Tamandua tetradactyla: one gene and its partner. The protein of the gene in region 1 interacts with the protein of each later gene in a pairwise test. Links are inferred from orthologs where the notes say so. Each region holds a gene or a part of one and is shown in the gene's direction. Other genes may lie near its edges.

Evidence for each region.
Region 2: the proteins of C20H1orf35 (region 1) and SRRM4 interact in binary tests that used the Homo sapiens proteins (3 or more experiments, as listed by UniProt). The link is inferred for Tamandua tetradactyla from reciprocal best matches to the Homo sapiens genes C1orf35 and SRRM4.

The regions. Positions count from the first base shown.
Region 1 is NC_135346.1:62,975,446-62,983,240, forward strand, and holds the start of C20H1orf35 (multiple myeloma tumor-associated protein 2), read left to right. Parts: upstream 1-4,809; 5' UTR 4,810-4,833; exon of another isoform or gene 4,834-4,914; intron 4,915-6,030; exon of another isoform or gene 6,031-6,669; intron 6,670-7,795. Other genes in the region: MRPL55 (large ribosomal subunit protein mL55), read left to right, coding at 3,775-3,976, 4,660-4,809.
Region 2 is NC_135331.1:19,231,648-19,239,470, forward strand, and holds the start of SRRM4 (serine/arginine repetitive matrix protein 4), read left to right. Parts: upstream 1-4,591; coding exon 4,592-4,722; intron 4,723-7,823. UniProt on the Homo sapiens protein: Splicing factor specifically required for neural cell differentiation.

The DNA.
Region 1 (7,795 bases):
TTTTCATCAAGAGAGGATGTTGGATTTTGTCAGATGATTTTTCTGCATCAATGAACATGATCATGTGTTTTTTTTCTGCTTTGACTTATTGATATGGTGTATTATATTAATTGATTCTCTTGTGTTGATCTAGCCTTGCATACCTGGAATAAATCTCACTTGGTCATGGTGTATAATTCTTTTAATGTGCTGCTGAATTTGATTTGCAAGTATTTTTTTGAGTATCTTTGCATTTATATTCATTAAAAAGATTGTTGTGTAATTTTCTTTTGTTGTAGTATCTTTGTCAGGCTTTGGTTAGGGTGATGTTGGCTTATAGAATGAGTCAGGTTATTTTTTCTCCTCTTTAGTTTTTTTGAAGAATTTGAGCAGGATTGGTACTAATTCTTGAATGCTTGGTAGAAGTCACTTGTAAAGCCATCTGTCCTGGACTTTTCTTTTTTGGGAGCTTCTTGATGACTGATACAATTTCTTTACTTGTATTTGGTTTGTTGAGATCGTCTGTTCTTGTGTCAGTGTTGGTTGTTCATACCTTTCTAGGAAGTTGTCCATTTCATCTACATTGTCTAGTTTATTACCATAAAGCTGTTCATAGTATCCTCGCATTGCCTCCTTCATTTCTGTGGAGTCTGTTGTTATGTCTCCTCTTCCAGTTCTGATTTTATTTATTTGCATCCTTTTTGGTCAGCCTAGCTAAGGGTCCATTGATTTTATTGATTTTCTCAAAGAACCAACTTCTGGTTTTGTTGATTCTCTCTACTGCTTTCATATTTTCAATTTCATTTAGTTCTGCTGTAATCTTCATTATTTCTTTTGTTTTGTTTGCTTTAGGATTAGTTTGCTGTTCCTTCTATAGTTCTTCCAGATGAACAGTTAATTCCTTGATTTTTTTTGTCTTCTTTTTTAAAGTAGAACAATAAACTTCCCTCCCAGAACTGCCTTTGCTACATCCCATAAATTTTGATATGTTGTGTTTTCATTTTCATTTGCCTTGAGGTATTTATTGATAATTTCTTCTTTGACCCACTGATTTTTGAGTGTGTTGTTTAGCCTCCATATTATTTGTGAATTTTCCAGCCCTCTGCCTGCTATTGTTTTCCAGCTTCATTCCATTATGATCCGAGAAAGTGTTTTGTACTATTTCAATCTTTTTAAATTTATTGAGACAGCTTTGTGACCCAGCATATGGTCTGTCCTTGAGAATGATCCATGAGCACTTGAGAAAAATTTGTATCCGTTGCTGTTATGGAGTGTAATGTTCTGTAAATGTCAGTTAAGTCTAGTCATTTATTGTATTCAAAATTTCTGTTTTGTTACTGAGCCTCTGTCTAGATGTTCTCTCCACTGATGAGAGCAGGAAGTTGAAGTCTCCCATTATTATGGTAGAGGTGCCTACTTCTTCCTTCAGTGTTGTCAGTGTTTGCTTCATATGTTTTGGAACACTTTGGCTCGGTGCATAACTATTTATGATTTTATGGCTTCTTATTGAATTCTTCCTTTTATTGACACATTGTTGTCCTTCTTTGTCTCTTTTTTTATTCTTTTTTTAATTTATTTTTTATTTATGATACATAACCACATACAAACACAAACATTCTTACCATATGATCAGTCCGTTCTTGTTATATAATCAATAACTCACGCATAGTTGTATATTCATCATCATGGTCATTTCTTAGAACATTTGCATCAATTCAGAAAAAGCAATAAAAAGAAGATAGAGAAAAATTCATACATACTATACCTCTTATCCCTCCCCTTCACCGATCACCAGCATTTCAATCTACTAAATTTATTTTAACATTTGTACTTGATACAATGATAGTACTTGATAGTACTTGGAACCTTATGTAGGGCATGAGATTTTGTAGGTTTGTCCAGAGTGATGCCCAGATAAATCCCAGAGCGATTTGAACGGTGAATAGGGAAGTATTTGCGGAGTCTCCTAAGGGGGATGGTGAGAAAGGGGGAAAATTCAACTTACCGGAATAGAGAATTTTTGGTATTTTCACAGGCAGTGGGGATAGCCAAAGCAATAGGCTGAGCCTCCAATCTTGGGGTTTGTTCATATGAAACTTAATCCTGCAAAGGATAGGCTAAGCCTACTTAAAATTAGGCCTAGACTGGTGTATGATGTGTGTCCAGTCACCACTGCTTCCCCAACTGTTTATACAGTTCCTGGCTATTTACTGGCTGCCCTGGAAGATGGACTAAATTCCACATTTACTGTGCCACCAGGTCACCTTGCTTTTCTCATGCAGTTTTGAAGGCAGAGACCAGATTCATTTTGTCAAAATTTACCAAGTCCTATGCTAGAGGTCTGAAATTTAATGGTGAATAAGATGCATTTCTTATCCCAGGATATCATAGTCTAGGGGCCAGATGGACACATAGAACAGGACGGTGTCAGCTAGATGATTCTGTCTTGGGAAGCATGGGGTATCGTGTGAACCCTGAGGAGGTGAAAAGTGGAGTTCCAGGCGGTGGGCTGTGGGGGCTGTGGCTAGGAGGAGGGAGACAGCACTCTCTGTGTGGACCTGCAGGGTTCTTGGGCTAACAGTTTTGTTGTGGGAGAGGATGGGGGTAGGATATGACTGAGAAATCCCAAAGACCATATGGGCAGTCAGTAATCTGCCTGTTATTGTGAGAGCAGCGGGAGCCCCTGAAGTGATTTCACCAGATAGTTTGTGGAAGTAGTGCTCTAGTGTGGAGTCCCCATCAGAGGGGCATGGCAGTGGGAGGGTACCTGGAAGGAGGCTGTTGGGATGGTCTGGGGTAGACATGGCTAGGCATTGAAGCAAAGGGGCTTTGAGAGAGATTTGAGTAAAGGAATGAAGTGGAAATGGTAATTGATGTGTCCGGGGCATCGAAAAGAACAGCAGGCTTTTCCTGAGAAAAGCTGGCAGTGTTTCTAACATTTTTTCCTCAAGCTGTGGAAAAATGGGTAGATGGCAGAATGGCCTAGGAGTGGGTCTAAATCCACATTGAGATTAAAGCCGGGAATCTCAGGGCTGGAGGCAATCAGAGGTCACAGGCTGAGCTGCCCCGTTGTCAGACTGAGGCCAGAGTGAGTAAGGGACAGGTCCAGGGTCAACCAGCAGTTAGTGGCAGAGCTTGGCCAGAGCACCTCTTTCCCGTCACTTTAGAGTACCTGCTTTTGACTGCATGAATCTCGGGTCTGGCATCATCCTCACCCAGACGGTTATCTTTCTGTCAGAACTGAGCTTCCCGTACCATACACATGTCCAAGGATCTGCTGGTCAGCCAGGCCTCTCCAAACAGAGGTCTTTCCTAAACCCCTTGGGCTCGTGGTTGTTGTCCACTGTCCTTGTGTCTGGGGAGCATCATGTGCTCACCCCACAGTGGCCTCTTGGCCCTGCTTAGGACAGGGCAGGTGGGGCAGTGAAAGGAAGGCCCCCATCTGTCCACCGTGCCCCCTTATAGCCCTGTCTGCTCTTCTCTTTTCAAGGGCCAGTCCCTACTTCAGGCAGCCTGTGGCCAGACCATTCCTGCATCTTCATCACCGAGGCAGGCCTCCTCTATGACACTTCCCTATGTAGCCAGCACTTTTGTATCACTGGATACAAAGTGATAAAAAAGCGAACTAGGGGGAAAGCCCTACACATGCCTGGCTCTTCCGCACCCATCTGGTGACCTCAAGTTCTCAGGCCTTTTTGTCCCAGATCCTGATTGGCTAGCCAGCCATGGGCCACATTTGGTACCTTTGACCCCAGCTTCGATCCACTGACGAGTTATCCACATGTCTCCCTGCAGCCTGCTGCGGCAGAGTTTCCTGAGGAGAGTGGCTGCCTCATGCCACTGCCTGCACACATCCTCCTGGCGGGCTGACTGTAACAGAGCAGCACTCACACGGATACACAGGCAAATGTATGCACGCCTCTATCCTGTGCTCCTGGTGAAGCAGGATGGCTCGACCATCCACATCCGCTACAGGGAGCCAAGACGGATGCTGGCGGTAAGGCTCAGTCACCAGGCACATTCTCTGACCTCATTCCCCAGGATCTGCTTAGGTCCAAATGCCAGGTGAGCCCAGAGCAAAGGCAAGAGGAGGCACAGCCACACTGTAGGGGCTCAAGAGACCTCTTCCCCTGGCCTGGGTCCACTTGCTGAACTTTGCTCTGGCCTGGGCCCCAGTAGATCCTCAGAAAGAAGAGACCCTTAGAAATGCTCTCTCAGGGAGCTCTTGGGCTAGTTAGTTCAGAATAAGCTTGTAGCCAAAGAGCACAATGGAGATGTCTCACGTCAGTGGGGAAAGAATGATATAGTATCAAGGGTTATTGTTTGAGAAGTCAGTTTATGCCCAGAGAGCATACAGAAAAAGTAGATGGGATTTATGAATTTTATATTAAAAAAAAAAAGAAAACCCAGGGAAACAACAAGAAAACATTTTTTTTTCTTTTATAAGGAAAAACGCTTTGAAGGGAAAGAAAAAACAGAACATGTAAAAAATCAAAGTACAATAGAAAAAAACTAAGGTCAAACAAAGACTTGGAAAAATGTGATATCAGTAATCCTTTACAAATTTAACATCAGCTCAGTTAGGTTTTGGCATTTTTACTGGTTTCACTCCACCCCCACCCCCACCCCCTTCCGTGAGCGGCTCCAGAATGCACCACAGTGCCTTCCCTCCCACTGTAGCTGCCCACAGATCTTGATGCCCTGTCTCCTGAAGAGAGGAAGGCTCGACTGCGGAAGCGTGAGGCTAAGTTCCAAGAAACAAAGACAGAACCAGAGCTCAAGGATGACTTTGACCCAGAGCAATACAAACGGTTTTGGATCAAAAAGTAACTGCACCCTTGAGCTGTCCAGGAAGTGAGTTGTGAAGATGGGGGGGAGGGTCTTCTCCCACAGTAGCGTCTGTGTTTAAAAGTGTAAGTTAAAAACTCACCACCACTTTGTGTCATCTCGTCCTGTCCTCCTGGCCTTAATGCTGCCCGAGGTGACCCCTGTCGGAAATGCTAGGTCCCACGTGGCACTGCCCCTGGAACTTGCAAAACTTTAACTCCAGAAGTGGACAGGCAGAGGGCCCTAAAGGCGGTCTTTTTATGACCCGAAACCATCCTGGAGAGTGTGGAATTGGTTACTTTAAACCTGCTGCCCTATAAATGAGGCCCAGAATGGGGAGTGGGAGGCCTGGGGCACACCAGAAATCTTTGGCAGAGTTGAGAGTAGAAGCAAGACTGACATCAGTCCAGTCCTCTTCCTGCTTCAGACTGTCTAGTCAGGCTGCAGGATGTACCCCTCCCACTGCTCTCCAGATTTCCCCACGGCTTCCACGCCCCCAGGAGCATGAGGATTTTGCTCCTTTCCTGGCAGAGTGAAATGGCTAAGAGATCCAAGGTCAGGCTTCCGATGGTTGGTCCTCACCTGAGGCTGCCGCTGCCACCTCCCCGACCCAGCAGTACCCTTGGCTCCCCTCAGAGACTCAGCCTGGGTGGGAACACTTCTCCACTCTTGCTTGCCTTTCCCACCTGGACCGTTTGCTCCCACACTGCCCACGTGGTTGTTTCTTCTGCCTCTCTGCCTCTGTGCTTGGCCAGCCCCCTCCTGCCTCACCCACTGCCCCCACTGCATCTGTACCAGAACTGCTCTGCCTGCCCTGAGTTCCCATGCCAGTGACTCTTCCTTTTCCTGGTTTGGCAGTGTCCCCTTTCTCTGGGACCATTCCCGTCAGAAAACAACATGCCATCTCAGTGTGTACCTCCAGCCAGGGACCCTGCCCCGTCCAGACTGTGCCCCTCTTCCTCACACCGTGTTTCGGGTGGTCAGTGGGCACTTTGGGTTCACCGTGTTTAAAACTGGTTCAACCACCTCCCACAAGCCGCCTTCTCCTGCTCAGTTCCAATCTTTGTACGCAGCTGCCCCATCCTTGCTGCTGTTCCAGCCGAAACCCTGGAGCCACCCTGCACTCATGTCTCCCAGCCATCTGCTAACAAGCCAAGCTGGTAGTCACACCCAGCCTCTAGTCCATGGTCAGATACTGCAGCTGTACCTTCTCTTATTTTGAAGGTACAGCTGCAGTATCCTACCTAGCACCACCATTGTTACAGTCTACTCCTGTTCCCTGGTCTCCAGCACTGCCGTCTTCTGCCTGGCCGACTGTGGCAGCCTCCAGCCTGGGCTCCCTGCTTCCACTCGGTGTTTACCATAAACTGTCCAGACCTGCCGAACTGAGTCAGTCCATGTTCCTGTTGTGGCCCTACGTCCTGCAGGATCATCCCTGCAACTCGGCTGCCCCAGCCGTCCAGCATCCTGTTGTTCTTCCTGTGTGCCTATCACTCTGGCTCCTGGAGTGGAACACTTTTCCTGTGTCAAGCCCATCTCCATCCTTCAGGTCTCTGCTCAGCCTCTCCTGGATTGGTGATGCCACATGCTCCCTCCTCCAACCCGTCCCCATGGGCACTCCTGTCCCTGTGTGTGACACATTGTACCTTTACATTCATCTGTCTCACTGCACCAGGATGCAAACACTGCTGTATCCCTCACGCCTAGGACAGCACCTGATAGGTACTTAAAATATTTATTGAATAAATGAATGAGCAAGAAGAGAATCAAGGTGCTGAGGCTACAAATGTGAATCTTGAGTTCATTAAGGCATTTGGACTCACTGAATTCAATGGGATACCTGCTATTTTATGTGCTGCTGAATAGTGGTTTCTTTTTCTTAGCTACTCAAGCAAATACCATGTGATGGTTCACTGCGAACAATGGGGATTATTTGCTTATGGTTTTGAGGCTAAGAGAAGGTCCAATTCAAGGTATCATCAGTGGAATCCTTCGTCCTTAGCTCTTCTGTCACATGAAATGCATATGGCAAGCGTCTCCTCGTCTCTCCTGGGTTCTGTTGATCTTTAGCTTCTTGCTTCCTGTGGCTTTCTCTCTGTTTGAATTTCTCTTTGCTTTTAAAGGACTCCAGTAATAGGAACCACACCTTAACTGCAGTAGTCTCATCAAAAGGTCTTGCAATGGGGTAACACCCTCAGGAACGGATTAAAGAGAGCATGTTTTTCTGGGGTGCATAGCTTCATACCACCACAAACAGTACAGAGAAAAGTGTACAAATCGTAAGGGTATAGCTTGGTTAATTTTTCACAAAGTGAAACCAGTACATGAACAGGAGTCCAGACGCTCCCTCCCACCTTCTCTCTGCCCCTCCGACCCCAGTGTCCCCACTGGCATCTAGCAGCACAAGTCAGCAATTCCAGAAGAATGTCACAAGACCCACGTGTGCTTTAGAAATGTCACCTTAGAGGAGAGTGTGTTGGGGAGCTATTTAAGAGGCAGTAGCAAGAAGGTGAGGTGGGAGAGAGGTGAGAAAAGGGAGATGGCATTTGCAAGGTTTCTATCCTAGTACTTAGCAGACAGTGATGATGCTTCCTGAGAGGGGGAACCCTGGAGAAGGAGCAAATCTCTGTTTTTGGACATGATATAGAGAAGATGGAGCTAAGCATGTGGAGAGGCAGGTCTGTAGTCACAGGGATGTTGATGTCACCAGAATGGATGGAGTCAAGAGGGACTGGGCATTTTGGGAGATCAATTTAGGGAAGGAGTTTGCATTTTCTTGGCCACATATGAAGCAGCTAAGACTTGTAATGACTTAGTACGATTGGATACAAACCCGGTAACGTCTAACTCCCACTGTGTTAATCTGGGGAACCCACAAATTAAAAGGCAAGTGAGGAAGTCTGAGACAGTGGGGTCAGAGAAGTAGAAGAGCTATGTGGTTTCAGAGGTGCTGCTTAGACCACTGCAAAATGCTCTTCTAATTTTCCTC
Region 2 (7,823 bases), on another chromosome or scaffold:
CAGATTTCCTGTACTACACACCGTGAGGCAAGTAGTTTTTGCTACTTTTGCAGGAAGAGGTGGCAGACTATAAAAGTAGCATCATTTGTAGATATGCAGACTGTTTAACAGACAGTTCTAATAGGGACACAACTTATAGAGGTTGGATGCACGTACACCCTCACCCAATGTTAAACTTTCCTTATTCTGTTGCTGGAAGTCAGTGTAGCCTAGAGGTAAGCACATGAACTTTAGAGTAAGGCAGATCTGGATTTGAATCCAGACTTCGCCACTTGTGAGCTGTGCAACTCTGGGCAAGTGGCTTTACCCCACTGAGCCTCCGTTTTGCAATCAGCAGATTTCAGACAATAAAGTTCCTTTCTCATAGAGTTATGACAAGGATTAAATGAAATGATGTTATTAAGGGTTTAGCATACGTGGTGACTAAAACATAGAACAGACCAACATGTACTTGATAAGTCCAATTATTATTAATATCTGAGACAGCAAGGAATGCAATTGTCTTATACTGTCATGCAACAAGGAATGGAGGATTCTTATAGTGTCACTCCACAAGGACATGTATTGTCCATGTTAGTGCAGGGGGCATTTGAAGCAGTGCGCATCAATAAATGGACAATAAATGGCAGAAAGGGGATTTAGATTATTCACAAGGTAGAACTTCCAAGAAGTGAGAATTGATAAATCCCGAATAGTGCAATTATTATTTTTATCCCTATCTATGTAAAGAGATACAAAATCTTCTAATTTGAATTGCTTAACACCATCCTATTTAAAGGCACAAAGACAGATGAATGGGTCTTATTATCATATTCCATTATCTCAATAATTACTTGAATCTTACACTGTTCACTGGACTTTTGGAAATAGGTACAGACCATCAAGTACCCTTTATCTCTTGGTGCTGGTGGATAATGATCTGTCCCATTGCACTCAGAGGTGTCCTGGACACAGAGAGATTAAGCGGTTTACACTAGGTAACACAGTGAGGTCATCGAGATGGGATTTGAACTGCCTCAGTAGGAGCAGTAGCTATTTCTCTGAGTTGGAAGTGCTGCTTCTTTGGGTCACTGAAGGAAGGACGTATAAGAATTTCTTCAGTCTCCACAAAGTACCTCAATCTGAAAATCCTAGAGTTACTTCTCTTTGGTCTCCCTTTGTTAAAATGAAAGAGCAATAGCAATTAGGAAAAGAAGCACCCTCTAGACATGGATGACAACTTGATTTATCTGAAATGCCAACCCCAGTGAATTAGCAATCGGTTCTCTAGAAGACTGTGTTGAGAAGGATTCTGAGGCTACATCGCAGAAAGAGTGCTGCAATGGATTAGTGATGCCTGCCATCAGCTGTGTGCAGAGGAGAAGCTGCAATTGTGCCACATATTTGTGTTCACTGCCCAGCATATTGTTAGTATTTGGCTTGTGGTGGGGACTGGCTTGCACCTGGAAAAAAAAATAGAGAGCAATACCCTGACAAAAGGTGACACAAGATGGCTATATTTTGATAAAGTGATGAAGGGCCTGGAGTTTGGGGCATGTTGGGGAAGGCAGACCTAAAGCAACTTTGTTAGGGTGGAAGGAGGACAAACATTAGGCTATGGGAACCCAGAAGATAAATTAGACTGTGAGATCCTTTAGGGAAGGGACCATGTTTTGTTCATTTTTGGAACTTCCATGCCCAGGACTGTGCCTGAACAAGATTAGGCATCAGTGAATGATTATGTAACTGATCACCGTCTGACTTAAGAAATTGACAGGTGATGATGGCGACGTAATAGCTATTCCTTAATAGACACTGACCATGAATTGGACACTGTTGCTAAATCCCTTCCAGGTAATATTTCCTTCAGCCCTCACAATAACTCCTTGAAGTTTCCACTAAGCTCTCCGTTTTGCAGATGGGGAAACTGAGCCAGAGGTTAGCAATACTCCAAGTTCATCCAAATATTCTACAGTCTGTACATGCATTAATTTCTTTAACCCTCACAGCTAGTTCCTTTAAACATAGGCTCTTTAATCTCTATAGAATCTCTGTGTTACGGATGGAGAAACTGAGGCATGCACAGGTAGTCACTCCTCCGAGATCACACAGTAGGAAATGACTGAACTCAAACTTGAATCAGGCAGTCTGGCTCCAGTGGCAGATTCATTACCTGAGACCCCCATTTAGATGCTCAATCACCTCAGTGGCTCATTGGTACTCACTCACTTTTACATTCTACCCGGGTATGTTTACTATCCTAAGGACCCCCCACACACACACACAAAAAAAAAAAACCAGAAACTTTTTTAACAGGCCTCCTTTGTGTCCTTGGGTGAGTCACTTAGGTAAGAGCAGATTCCTGTCCCACCTCACCTGCTGCTGTGGGGTTCAAAAGAGGCAGTACCATGGGAATGGAGTTTTACCAACATTCTGAGAATTTAAGAACAGCTGGAGAGGTTGTTTGACCTTGTGGAGTGTGATCCCACTGACTGATGACTCAGTTCAGACCCTAAGTGTCCCAAGGATGATTTTAAATACCCCAGCCTACTTAAGGAGCCAGCTGTCAAAAAAATTTAAGATGACATCAGCTTCAGGGTAGAAAATAGGGCTTGAGAGCAGTCAGAGAATGGGAGTATTTGACCAAAGCGGGGTGGGGGTGTGGGGAGCTGGCCTCCACTTCTTTCCATGCCCACACTCCCTAGTCGTCTCCCACCTCCAGACGCCCTACACACCCAAGCCAGGAGATGCATCTCTAGCTGTTGACCAGAAGGGGTCACTGCAAAGCAAAGCAGCACTCTAAGGCCCTCTTATAAACCCACCCATGAAATTCCAAATACGCACATATCCAAATATATATATACCCTTCTGGACCCATACTCTAGGGTTTTTTCCATCTTCTCCTCCCCCACCCCCACCCCCCACATCTTGTTCTCTCTGCTTCCTCTTTCTCCCTTCTCCCGTCTTCCTCTCCTGTTCATTTTCAAAGAATTTCTCAAATTCACATTGGTGGCCTGGTCCCCCATTGCCATCAGCATCGGCAAGAAGCTTGGGCTTATTCCTGCTCCTGGCCGGAACCTGGTGCCAGGTGCTGGGGCTCTTGTAGACTCAGCGAAGCCTCCTTCCAGGAGTTTACAGCCTTGGTGGGGGTGCAGAGGGGTGGGGCAGCTCTGCTGGGATTAAAGGGCTCGAGGCAGAGATGGGCTGAGGGGGTGCAGCAACTTTTGGCTTTCTTAATGAAAACCCTGGGAGGAAACGAGAAATTCTGACCCTGATGCTCTATGTCTGAGGTTTATTTATGATTCTAAACCTCCGCTTCCTGGGATTAGGATTGAACTAGGAAGGGGTAAAGGATGGGGAGGAGGGAGTGAAAAGTTGACTCCTCCCATAATCTTCGGATTCTGCGCTCCCCCCAAAGCCCTCCCTATAAACGCTTTCTTTTCTAAAAGGGACTCCCTTCCCCAGGCAAGCTGTGTTAAGAAAGTGCCTGCCGCCGAGTTCCCAGGAGTGGCTGGGGGCGGATGGGGGAGTGGGGGCGGGGGTTGCAGTCCTTCCTCGGGACGGGTCTGGCTGCGAGACACAAAAGACATATCCCTTACAGCGCCGCAAGGACAGATGTAGCGCTGCGCCCCTCTGCGGGCGGGGGCCCGGCTCGGCAGATGGCGAGAAGCTGAATTGGGGAGGGGTTGTCCATCAGACAGCACTTTCTGGGTGGTGCTGATCTCGCGGTCCCCGGGGCACTGGCAGCAACTCAGGGGACCCCCTTTCCGGGTCTAGGTAGTCCAGAAGTTGGGGGCGTGGGGGGGGGGCGGATTGGTTTGGGAGGGTAGGTTAAGTTTTTTGCCTCCCTCTCACTAGGAGATCCTCTACAGGACTTCTTTCTGAAGGGGTTGAGAAGGGAGGTGCCCGGAAGGCACACGAAGGAGGCGGGCGGGGGAAGAAGAGAGAAAGCGCCGGGAAGCACAATCTCCAGCCGCGTTCGGGGTGCCGGGATTGCGTCTTCCAGGCTCAGCGCTGCAACTCTGTCGCCGCGGGCCCTGGTGACAGGCGCACGCCCCGCCCTTTCTCCTCCCAAGACCTGCGGGCTTTTGTTATGCAGATGGCGGCAGGAGGCTGAGCGGGAGGGGGAGGGGGAGAGGGCTGGGGGGAGGAGGAAAGACGAAGAAGGAGGGGAGGAAAGTGCAGCTCGCGCGACCAGCCTCCTCTTCCAACGTCACATTGTGCGAGAGACAAAACCCGGGCGCGCCGGAGCTCACACGCGCACGCACACCCGGGCGACCCCGCCGCCTCTCCTCTCCCGGCACTGCCGAGAGAGCCAGCACCCCCCAACACCGCCCCTTTCCCTCCTGGGGCGCCCGGCCTCAGCAAGCTCAGAGCGCAGCCCAGAGCCCAACCTCAGAAGGTGAAGAAAAGCCGGCGGACGAGCCTTCTTTCTCCGCTGCCTGCCCGGGCTGAGGCGCCCCCTCCCCCTCCTCGAACCCCCGAGCTCTCCCACCCCACCCCTCCGGGTGTTTCACACGGACGGAGCCGGGAGCCGGGTGCGCCCCCCTGTTTGGAATCCACGCTTCAGCACTTCGGACAGCGCCCGCGGCCCGGCCCCTTCGGGTTGGCTATGGCGAGCGTTCAGCAAGGCGAGAAGCAGCTTTTTGAGAAGTTCTGGCGAGGGACCTTCAGAGCGGTGGCCACCCCGCGTCCCGAGAGCATCATTGTCGCCAGTATCACGGCCCGCAAGCCTCTGCCAAGGTAGTGACCTCCTTCCCCACAGGGGAGCCCCTGCTGATCCCCCTCTCTGGCCTGTACCCCAGAGCCCTGAGGGGTGGATACAGGGGACTGGGCCAGGATGCCTGCCTTTTCCTGTCACTCCTCGGTATCTCCGGCTGGAACGTGGGAACTAATTGCTTGTGTGGAGTGGACGCTAACGAGAAGGGATGGGGTCCTTTGTGGGAAGGGGCAGTTGACATACTGAGATCCCCGTTTTGCTTTCTTAGGGTGGGCAGTGACTTTCTTAGGGTGACTGGCTCTAAGAAACTTTTCTTGGTATTGCAGGGCTCAGAGGGCGGGATGGGGGGGTGGGTGGAGGTATGGTGGGTTTCCTGTGGTTTGGGAGTGTTGTGTAAGAAGGGAGGGTGAGCGTTTAACAGGCTCCAACAGTGTTCAGAGACAGCAACACATTTCTATACTCAGCTCAGAAACGAGCGAGCTCTGAACATTTTGACAAAAGCCCATATGCTGTTCCCTCAAATACACCCAAAACATCACCCTCCTCCACGCCTTTCTCACTGCTGCTGCTGCTGCTGAATTCTCTCCTCTCCAGCATCCAAACCGAGGATTCTGAGCTCAAGAGTCAGGGAGAAGCCTTCCAAGACTGTGAAGATGGTCTTGGAAGAGTTTTATTTGAATTTTCAAAAGGATCCGATTGCTTTGAATTCAGTGTTGGTGGTGGAAATGGTGTGAGGTGGACAGAATAAGGGAAGAAATTCAAGGAAGGCAGAAAGAGGGAAAGCAGGACGTGGGGCAGAAGGGAGAAGAGGGTGAGGGAAAATGGAGGCATTCCAAGACAGAAAATCCAACTCTTCAAAAATCATTCAATTTAGTGGAGTTTGAGAATGAAAAGGGAAAAGGCTATGCCCTCTGTCAGGGAAAATCAAGGCAGTATGAAAACTCATCTTTTGCTGGTGTTGGACGAGTGGTTCAGTGGGAGAAAAAGAAAGAAGTGGACCTGGGGGGGGGGGACACTTGGGGGATTTATTAATCCTGGCAGCCTGTATCAGGGAGTAGATTGAAACATGTCTTGAAAAGTGCTTTAGACAGAATGTCTGTTCTGTCTAAAGCACAACGCAATCTGAACTTTGCAGTGGGTGTGGGATGGAGGACTGATGGGCCATCATACCTAAAATAAAAAAAATAATAAAAAAAAAAAAATCACACCCAGACTGGAGAACTTTTCCCTTCACAGTTTGATAGAGACTTGGCTCACACCAGTCTCTAGAAAATTGGGTGCCCCGTGTTGGGAATGTATGGACTGGAGACATGCTGGCCCAGCAGGCTGTAGCAGGCTGCAAGCAGCAGCAAGACAGTGTTTGCAGACAGGAGGGAGGGGGACAGCTACTGACACAAGCCAGAGAAGGAGAACAATGACACCAAACGCTATCAAAAGCTGACGTTTCTCTGCTTGGAATGAGTTTCTTTCTAGAGCGTTTTGACGTCAGTGGTTTTATCTTCCTGGGTTTCTGCCGTGTGTTCCACCTTTGGAGTGCACATGCTGTTGGCAAATCAGGTGCTGCGCTGGCCAGAGAAAATGCCCTTGTAGAAGGAACTAGAGAGGAAATTGCATTGAAAACTAGAAGTGTGGCATTTGGTTCAGAGTCTTCCACCTACTTCAGTGGTGCAGGGAGAGGAGATCAGATTCCTGGTGTGTTTTCGTTCGAAAAGTCATGTCTGATTTCTACCTTGTTTGGTACCTTCATCCTTTGCCTAGTAGTCTGTTACTTTCATGCCCTTTTCTTGTTCAGAGTCTGAATTGGCCACAAGGGCTCCCAATGCCCGTATCTTTGAGACTCTCACAATAACCACCTCTTCCCCAACCCACAGGTATCACCTCAGTCTTGGTGTTTTTCTAATATCCTGAGTCTCTTTCTCCCCTGGAAACCAATCCTGAGTGAGAGTCTGAGCCACAAGCCCCTGATTTATGTCAGGCTGGAAGGGTCCTCTGTAGAGTAAAGTCTAGTTTTACAGCTTTTACTCTTGTTTTGGGAGTGGAGATGAGCAGGGAATATTTGTATCAAAGCCCTCAGGAAAGACTGCATTTGGGTTGCCTTTTAACTGACTGGCTAGAAAAAACCCGAAACCTCTCCATTCTCACCCAAACTAGGCACATCCAGTGATGGTCAATTTTCATCTCCTTTCAAATATCCTACTTACCTGAGGGTGAAAATGCTGTTTCTAAAGCATAGCTCTTAGAAAGGGAAAGGGCAGAGATTCTGGCATAGCTTCAGCTAGGACCCATTTGCTTCCTCTAGAGGTAATTTGGGGCTTGGCCACCTCAGAAATGTTGTTTACTTCCAAGAGTCAAACCTATCTCACAGTCAGTAGATCTACCCAAATAGCTGTCTGCAGACGCATGGGGGAGGGGACGGATTAAGTAGCAGCCAGTCTTTTGGTTACACTCTTAATATGTGCTTATAAATGAGGGCCACCCTGTGAATGAACTCCTCCAGGATATTTTAAGTCTATCTCCAAAGATAATTTAGTACCAGGACAGAAACATACATTCAGATGGAAGCATTCATTCAATTTGTTGGTTTCACAGCACTATGCATACATCATACAACTGCACACCAAGCAAAACCTCCCTGAGTTACCCCTCCTCTTCCCCTCCACCTCGGTGAGGCATATTTGATGAGGCAATAGCTTTATAATGTATCAAATTGCAAGCAGATGTCTGACTCAAATGTCAGAACAGTATAGCAGAGTGGGAGGCAGTATATCATAGCGGTGAAGAGCTCAGCCTTGAGTGTCAGACAAACTTGAATTTCTGTCCTGGCTCCTATCATTTACTCACTGAGTGTCTTGAGCAAGTGGCTTAACCTTGCTGAGCTTGTTTCATTGTTTTTCAAAATAGGAATAATAGCCACCCAGATGATGGGTTTCGAGAACTGAGTCAGATAAAGTACTCTGCACAGCATGTGGCACATGGGGACTGCTTAATAAGTGTTGGCTCTAATAAAGCAAATAGCTCTGAGCTTATGGTGGGCGGAAGGAAATCAATGATTCCTTCCAATATTATGTTCTCCGTGGCTCCCCATTCATCCCCCCCACCCCACCACACACATAATACTAACGAT